Linked DNA regions of Nothobranchius furzeri. The protein of the gene in region 1 purifies or fractionates together with the protein of each later gene. This does not show direct contact. Links are inferred from orthologs where the notes say so. Each region holds a gene or a part of one and is shown on either strand. Other genes may lie near its edges.

Evidence for each region.
Region 2: the proteins of E3 ubiquitin-protein ligase Hakai (region 1) and proto-oncogene tyrosine-protein kinase Src purify together in Homo sapiens (affinity purification with western blotting; 3 studies listed by BioGRID and IntAct, with this or other methods). This does not show direct contact. The link is inferred for Nothobranchius furzeri from reciprocal best matches to the Homo sapiens genes CBLL1 and SRC.

The regions. Positions count from the first base shown.
Region 1 is NC_091741.1:57,567,127-57,571,480, reverse strand, and holds the start of E3 ubiquitin-protein ligase Hakai, read left to right. Parts: upstream 1-1,354; 5' UTR 1,355-1,473; coding exon 1,474-1,492; intron 1,493-1,531; exon of another isoform or gene 1,532-1,702; intron 1,703-2,234; coding exon 2,235-2,423; intron 2,424-3,564; coding exon 3,565-3,671; intron 3,672-3,913; coding exon 3,914-3,997; intron 3,998-4,074; coding exon 4,075-4,148; intron 4,149-4,354. UniProt on the Homo sapiens protein: E3 ubiquitin-protein ligase that mediates ubiquitination of several tyrosine-phosphorylated Src substrates, including CDH1, CTTN and DOK1. Targets CDH1 for endocytosis and degradation.
Region 2 is NC_091743.1:58,638,597-58,642,953, reverse strand, and holds the start of proto-oncogene tyrosine-protein kinase Src, read right to left. Parts: upstream 2,848-4,357; 5' UTR 2,635-2,847; intron 1-2,634. Other genes in the region: protein MANBAL, read right to left, coding at 4,112-4,222. UniProt on the Homo sapiens protein: Non-receptor protein tyrosine kinase which is activated following engagement of many different classes of cellular receptors including immune response receptors, integrins and other adhesion receptors, receptor protein tyrosine kinases, G protein-coupled receptors as well as cytokine receptors.

The DNA.
Region 1 (4,354 bases):
CAACTGTAAACTCAGTAATAATTTAGCAAATGTAAACTAGTTCCTCCCTTCTTCTTATTAGCATTAGAGCTAATTAGCTGACGACAGTTGACTAGTGTAGAGCCAAAAGCAAACTTGAACAGGTCACTAACTTAGGTATAACTTCGTCGTTGGAACAGTAGAGTTAAAATGTGCAAGTTGCTTAAAAAGACTGATTATTTTAAGACAAAAACTAACCTTTGATGGAAAGTCCGCCGCTGTTGCTTCCTTTTCTGTTGGATATTTGTGGGTTTTATAGTCAAGAGCCAGCTATTAGGTCGATGTAGCTAACGTAGCTTGCCGTGGTAGCTTAGCTAACATCCGTTAGCCTGTGAGTGATTTGTTTTGAAGAAGCACGGGCTAACGTAAGCTAGCTCAACTTCGCTAACGTTAGTCAGATGTGGCTGCAAAACTGTTAAATACGCAAGGTCCATACGTTAATTTCCTCTAAAAATAAAAAGCGATACGTGTCCTTTCTGATAGACAGGGCATGGTTTGTACTCACGCATTAAGTAATTCAAACGCGGGGCTAAGTTTAACATGCAAAGCAAGAAAAACTCAGTCATAAATTTCGAATCAAAATGGCGACATTGTACGATGAGAGCGCGCGGCACACGGGGACGAGCATCAGCTTCACTGCTTCGCAAAACATCAGAGCTCACTCACATGGGGTTCAAGCATCTTAATTGTAAATTATGTAATTTCTGACTCGTTTAATTGTCTCTTACTTTTAAAAATGGTACATTAACAGCGCTTGTGGGAATTGTGCAAATGTATGCGACAAAACGACGCTCAAATTAAAACAAGATCTAAATTATGAGACAAACTCATTATGCAGTAACGCAACAAACACATGAAGTCAAAATTATCGAGACGTTATGCGATATATGTCAGAAATAAGAGATTTTAAAAACACCAGTTTAACTTGAAATTAAAGGTGATATGAATGAAGATGCATATAATCTGATTAAATTAAAAATGCCAATACCAAAATATTAGACTACTAGCTTAAATGCTGTTCTGAAAAGTTTAAAATGCATTTACTTCATTTAGAAGTGCAACAATTTTGACACTTTTACAGAGTGTTAGTTTTTTTTTATTTATGCATGCGAAGTTAACTGCTCAGTTTATACTACAAAGATCAGAAAAGTGGTTTTATTTTAATGAACGAATTACTTAATATTGTATGTTTATAAATATCATCTTTACAGAATTCAAGGGACCCCCCCCCCCCCCCCGGCCACCCACAATGCATTGCGCTCACTCGTTGGATCCGGTTGGATCATGGACCAAAGTGGTGAGCTAAACGCTAAGTAGGCCCTCTGTTGTCAAAGTTTGTTTTTGTGGCTTATTTTTTCGTTTTGCCGCCAGAGTTGCTGCTCTAGTAGTTCTTTAAATTATTACGAACAACCTTCCAGGAATCCGGCTTTGCTGTTGGAGCTTGGTGCCTCTGAAATGCTCCGTTACGGTTTAGGTTAGCTGTGGATTTGTGCTAAAGGACGTCAGTTCACCATTTAACCCTTAAGTTCTAAGTCAGTTGGAATAGTTAGTTGTAACGTTAACTGGAGGTGTGTTCGGTTCCTGTGCCGAATGTGATTAGTTTGATTTTAGGTGTAAATCCAGCGATAGCGTTGTACAGCCTACCTTACCCTGTTTTAGCGCTTAGCTAATTCTTTGGCTAACGGTTTGTAACTTCGTTTTTGTTGCTCGTCCTCAGATTATTTATTGATGTCCGAGACCTTCTTTGTGTTTAGTATTCTCACAAGTAAAGATCAGGGTAAACTGAATTTCGGTTGGATAAAAATAGCCTGGTGTTCTTTCGGAATATTTCTTAAATATGTCAACGTTTCAATCTGTCGCCTTTTATGTGCCTTCGTTTTGAGAATTTTCTCCTTTCTTTACCATAAAAAACACTTTCTTGATAAACTTACGTCACAGATAATAAGCATTATTCTTCAAACCGTTAGATTTATACTTTGATTACATGAGGGAAAGTGTTCCGACACATCAGCAGGCAGAAATGCCAAACATTAACACGCCAAAAAGTAGTTTGAACAAGAACAGAAACGTTTGCTTATTTAACTCATCAGTCGGGTACATTTCAAATAAAGATTTACATAACTTTTGGAACGCAGATGTAATATAATTGTGCTTAATGGTGTGATGCTATCAGTTTTTTGTTTTTATTTTTTGGGTTGTGCATTCGGTGTGTACAGACGGTGATCTTCAAGGGAGCGATGGTTCGGGAAGTTTGGGTGGACTGGATGTTCGCAGACGAATCCCCATCAAGCTCATTTCCAAGCAGCCCTTGAGGAATAAGCCCCAGCAGCGGATGCAGAGGCCTGGCACCAGGCCCTGCAAAAGTGAACCTGGGGAAGATGGTACGCTACCGAGCACATTAAAAAGCAAGTCACCCCCAAATCAACCTTTTTGTGTGATAAACTATATAAATTGTGCTGCAGACATGTGTAGTCAATAGTTTGGCACTTTAGTGCATTTTAGTTAAAATTTTAATTTTCTGACTAAAACTGTCAGTGTTGTGCCGTTGTCAGGTAAAAACTCTGCACTGCATTTGAATTTAAATCTGCCATCGCTATTGGCTAAGAGGTATCCTACAACGTTAGCTGGTACCATATGATGTCACAATGTCGTTGTGAGCGTGTGTGTGTGTGTGTGTGTGTGTGTGTGTGTGTGTGTGTGTGTGTGTGTGTGTGTGTGTGTATTTGTTAGCAGCTCCGCCCTCTCAGTCTGCTAGGCAACAACATTTGTTGCATTTTTCAAATCAGAAGTGGGAGTGGAGTAATACTCTGGTAGGGGGTGACTTGCTCTTTAAACTTTTAAAAAGTAAACTGATCGGGGTTATAGTCACAACATTTTCTGTAGAATTTTAATTTGGAGGTTGAATCTTTTTATGGTTCATGTTGATTCTGTGCTGCAGGAACTGCACAATTCTGGCTGGACTGTGCTCCCAGCAGAATCCACTAATCAGTCATTTGCTCCAATGCAGAGCCTTAAAAATAACTATTTAGACAGATGCTTTTAAAATAAACTGATTTATACACCTCAGTTAGTAATCATAAACATTGTTTTGTTGAACCTGACCAAAACCCTTCTTCTGAGGGTGAGACAGATTTTGCTGTATATTAACTTATAGAATTAACCATTATTCATTAGAATATACTTTATTGTCTCAATTGGGAAATTTGTCATTAGGTCAAAAAAGTTGCACTTCGGTTAGTATAACTGAAAAAAGGAAAAACTACACAGAACCATACTAATCTCCACATTACATACTACTCTTAACAGATGACCTTTGATTATGCATTGTACATAATACACATAGCACATTCCTTAAACATCGAGTACTGCACACTTACACAATCCCACAATACTGCAATTTGAAAATTTCAATCTGAAACATTTTGCCCCAGCTCTATCAGTTGACTAATTGAGTTCTAAACAACAAAATCTGCTTTTATTAATCAGGGTTTTATTGACTTTCTCTTTTCAGTTTTACAATAATACTTATTTTCTCATATTTTGTAGATAAATTCAACTTTAAGCAAGAGGAAAGGTTTGATTGTGGCACCAAAGCTGGCGATGTGTTTGCAAGCCAGCGGAGATTTCCACAACCCCTATTTTGGGACTATAAGGTACGTCAGTGTGGGTTTGCTGACATCATCTTATTATAGTGACTTTCTGTTTTATATATATATATATATATATATATATATATATATATATATATATATATATATATATATAATAAAGCTGTCCATTGACCTTGGGTTAGTGTACACTGTTGTTTTGCTTTGACTATAAAAGCTTTGTGACTGGATTTGAGTATGTCTGAGTGACAGATACCCATAATTCCACCCATTTGCTTTCCCTACAGTTACATTTAATTGGTGAACGGGATGAAGTACCAATTCATTTCTGTGACAAATGTGGCCTCCCTATTCAGCTGTATGGACGGATGGTATGTACTTTGTTCTTGCTTGCTCCCTTTGGTTGGTTTTGAATCATTTTCTGGACTGAGACTCTCCCTCTCCTCAGATCCCATGCAAACATGTTTTCTGTTACGACTGCGCTTTGCTGCATGAGAAGAAAGGAGAAAAGATGTGTCCAGGGTGAGACATGTTTGTTTTTCATTAGAATGACTTCTCAGATGTTAAGAAATCCTGCTAGAAAGATAAACCCTGGAGAATACTGTCTTGTTTTTGTTTTTTTGTGGCAAAAAGTTTAATGATATGTTAAAATATTAAATCTAAAATAGAAATTTCGTTCATGTAATGAATCAAATGAGTCATTTGACCTGACTGAGGTTTATCAAGTT
Region 2 (4,357 bases), on another chromosome or scaffold:
GTGTCTAATCGTGCTGCAGACACGTGTCGTCAATAATTTGGCATTTCAGTGCATCTTAGTTAAAATTCAAATATTCTGCCTAAAACTGGCAGTGTTGTGCCGTTGTCAGGTAAAAACTCTGCACTGTATTTTAATTTAAATCTGCCACCGCTATTGGTTAAGAGGTATGCTATGATGTAAACTGGTACATTATGATGTCACAATGCTGTCGTGAGCCTGTCTTTGTGTGTATTTGTTAGCAGCTCCGCCCTCTCGGTCTGCCAGGCAACAGAATTTGTTGCATTTTTCAAACATGAAGAGGGAGTGAAGTAAGTTTCTTGTACGAGTTGACTTGCTCTTTAAGAAATAGTTCCGAACATTCAGCACGTGAACGTGGCATGTCTGATCACACCGATTGTGACTTAAGCTGATAAAATGACAACCCAAAACAAAAACATTTGTGGCTCTGAAGTCAGTCTTACCTTGTGCTAAGATTTTACGTAGGAAACAGAACACTTTTTTTGCTAATCCATCCCCCTGTCCCAGGTCTTATCAACCCTGATTTTTCTTGTGATGATGAGCACACTATTGCTGCACATTTGGCTATGACAAACCTGACTGAGTCACAACAGACGGTACCAGTTGTTGCTGTGCTGCAGAGACTGAAGGAGCTCTGGCTAATGTTTCAGTTCAATGGGGAAATTACAGTTTGCCCTCGGGAGAGAAGGCGAGGAAGAGGAGGTGGGGAGGGGTCAGCGATGGTTCCCCATGATCAAAACAAGAGGAAGCATTCACATTGGCATTGCCGTCTTGTCCTACTTTACATAGTCAGAGGAAGAGAAATGGACTTGATTAGGTCCAATGAACATCAGAACCACATCTTCTTGTCTTCTAAGCCTTTACATGAACAATCCAACATGTGTGGAAAGGGTAAACAAGCTCTCCCATCTCATCTGTCCTCTGGCAAACACACTCAGGAGAGACAAGGGGAAAAAAGGAGGAGGAGGAAGACGGACAGACTGAGGCACTTAGCTGATAAAGAAAAAACACTTCCGTCCATCTCTGACTGAAGGCTCTGGGAACCAGTGATCCTGGCCGTGGGGAGCGGCTGCTTCAGCGTGATTAATTTTACAGGACATGATGGCCATTTCATGTCAGAGATGTCACGTCATTTACAAATTCTTAAAACTCACCCTGTTCTACGTGTACGCCCCATTTCTGACTTACATTTATTCAAATGAGAGCATTTTATTTATAATACTCCCTCTGATCAAAACATGTCTAAAGTCTCCACTCACTTTTACACTGAAGGCATTAGGAAAGTAAAATAACCTTTTGGTCTTCTTGAAGTCGATATTCACCTGGAAGCCTCCATGCAAAAAAGTTCTGCGACATAACTCATGAGTCGGTGTTCAGGGAACACCTTTTCAACTAGTGAGACATGACAAGCAGTCGGAATTACCTGAAAACAGGCAGGAAAACATTCCTGAAATGTTCCTAGTATCAACACCAAACAAGATCAGGAAAGGTGGGAGTTCACTGAAGGCTTTAGTTCCAGATTAGCCAACCCTTGATTTTAGGAAGCTGTCTGTACATTTAATGTCTGCTGACTAAAACAGATGAACGCATGAATAAATAATGGAGACAATAACATAGCTGCAGCCAATTGAGCCAAATATTTTGAATGACCCAAAAACAGAACATCATGTTTATCACCCATTTGCCCCCATTTATGGGATAAAAATATTTAATTTTGCTTTTACAGCCCAGTTAGATGTTGCAGCTTCCTTTATGTTTGGTGGATCAGCAAGTCCACCAGTAGCTCAGATACTAGGGCTTTAGGATTAAAGTTCCTCCTTAATAAGAAACCTGGATCTCTTTCCTCCCAGAAATTAGCTGGAACAGCCCCCCCCCCCCCCCCCCCCCAAAAAAAAACTATCTGCTAATAAACTATTAGCCACATAATTAAAATTCTATTTCCACGGGATTAAACACCAGTTGTCAGCAAAGCTGCTTTCAATGAAACGCGGGGTGGGGTGGCTGCTGCCTACGGGAGTAGCAACTGTCAAAACGGAATCTTTGCTTGGGGAGAAAATAAAAATAAAGACATAACCTAATTAAAAACCAGCCAGAGTTAGCAGGGCGATCCGTTTCAGGTGGTTTCTGGATTTGTGAATGGGAACGTGGATTGACTTATTTTTAAGAGGGCTCAGTGACAGACAGCGGTAGCTCCAGTGCATGTGGCCTGATGAATCAAAACAGGTGCTGTTACAGCTCCATTTTGGATTTCGATGGATTGTTGGCTTCTTTTTCAGAGCAAACTCGTCTCATCGGATTTTCTCTGAGCATCTGGCGTCGTGACGAAGCCACGATGGCGATTTTTACAAACCTTTTGTTTTTTATGGTCTGTAGTAAGTCCTAAGGGGCAAGCCCCGGCTCAGACTGAATCATTGCACTGGCCGTGGTCTCTGAATGGCCTGTGTAACAATGAGCGTGTGTGTGTGTGTGTATGTGTGTGTAGGGGACCACAGCATATATACATGTGTGAAAACAGACTAACACCTAATTGTTAGCTCGCGGTTGGCCCCAAAACTGTAAACAATCTCCTCGCCAGGAGAGAAAAAGCCGCTACATGCTGTAATAAACTAAACCTACCTTTGACGCGTCTTGTGATTCAGCCCCCCAAAAAAATAAAATAAAAAAATCAGAGAAGCGCAGCGAGGAGCCCGGTCAGATTCGTATGGCTGTTCTCATCAGAAGAATATGGAAGCCGACGGGCAGTTGCTGTGGAAACCTCAGTCCAGCCGCAAATCCCATTTAGCGAATATCAGAAGAATCACCGGAGGAAGGGAGAGAGGTCATGACGAGGACTGATTCTCCTCAAGGAGGGAGCGCAGCTGCCGCGGTGGTGGCGGTGAGCTACGGCGGCGGTGGTCCGGGCGAAGCACCGGCAGACGGTCCAGCTGGAAAGGAGGCGACGGCGCAGTAAAAATCATGCGAACGAGCTGGAGCGGTGTTATCCGGGGAAGACCAGCCTCGTATGGGGGAGGAAGCCGCCGGAGAGAGCGCATCGCTTACGAAACATGAGGGCGAACCAGGGGCGAACACGAAAAGACTAGATTTACGTTCAAAGAGCGTCGGGAGAATTTACGACAACAACTGCGCAACTCGGCTCTGTGAAGGGAATCACTTTGGGCATGACACGAACAGATTCTGAACACCGCTGCCGCGTTTAACCCCTTTAGATCTGTTCAATACATACACAACTTTGTTACATAACAAATCCCCGGCAATGACTTAATTGAGATGATTTGCTTAAAGTACAGGCAACGTAAAGTGGTTGCTTAGCAACACTTCCATTACAGCAGAACGTGACTGTCGCATTAAAGTCAAACCCTCCGGGGTTGTTGACGTTTGGAAAACATTTGCCCCAGTTTTGAGTTTTATTGTTCCACAACGTTGTAATTTAAAATAATCTGGTAACTGAGTAAATGTAAAGGTTTGCACTTGTGAACAATCAGTGCATAGTTTATCAATTTATTTTTCAAATTACTGTCGCAATCATCTATTTTAATAAGTTCCCTTTTAATGTTTTTGTAATAGAAATAAAAGTATTTTTTATAAAATGACGTTTGGCTTAATGAAATTTTTAGCTATGAAAAAATTCTCTCTAGATATGCGATTTCAAGAGAAAGAAAGTTACAATGACACAAATAAACCCAAATTTACATAATAAATCAAAAGCATCGAGATCAAATATGGACAAGTTACCTATTCTTTATATTTAAATACATTGCAAAACTCCAAATCTCCCTATGATATTTGTGTCTGTAGCTGAACACCAGTCACACTTAACTGACTCACAGACATGAGTAAAACAATCATAAAGACAGCTGAGGTGAATGACTTTATTGGTCAGTTGTAATCCACATGCATTTCCAACAATATCTTCAATATTTATTAATAAAATGAAGGGAAACGAAAACTCTTCACTGTCAATGAACATCGTGTTTTTTTGCAGTCTGTGTGAATATGAAAGTAGGATCATTGAGAAATGTGTTCCATGTAGTGTTGTAATAATAACTAAAATGTATCAGATGACAAAAACAAACAAACTCAGATGCACAAAGCTCTATCGTTTCTTTTTGCTCTCTTTCTTTGGTTTCTGTCGAATCTGAGGTGCTGGTCCTTTGGGTTTCTTCACTGGTTCTGTCGTTTTCCCATCAGTGGACTCTGTCTCCTCCTGTGGGCCGAACACCAGAAACATTAAAAACTAAACGGCTAAACGCATGGAATGAATATATGTTCCTTTTTTCCAAGCTTAAATGCAGCTTTACCAAACAAACAGAAGAAGGAAATTCCCATGTGTACACCAAAC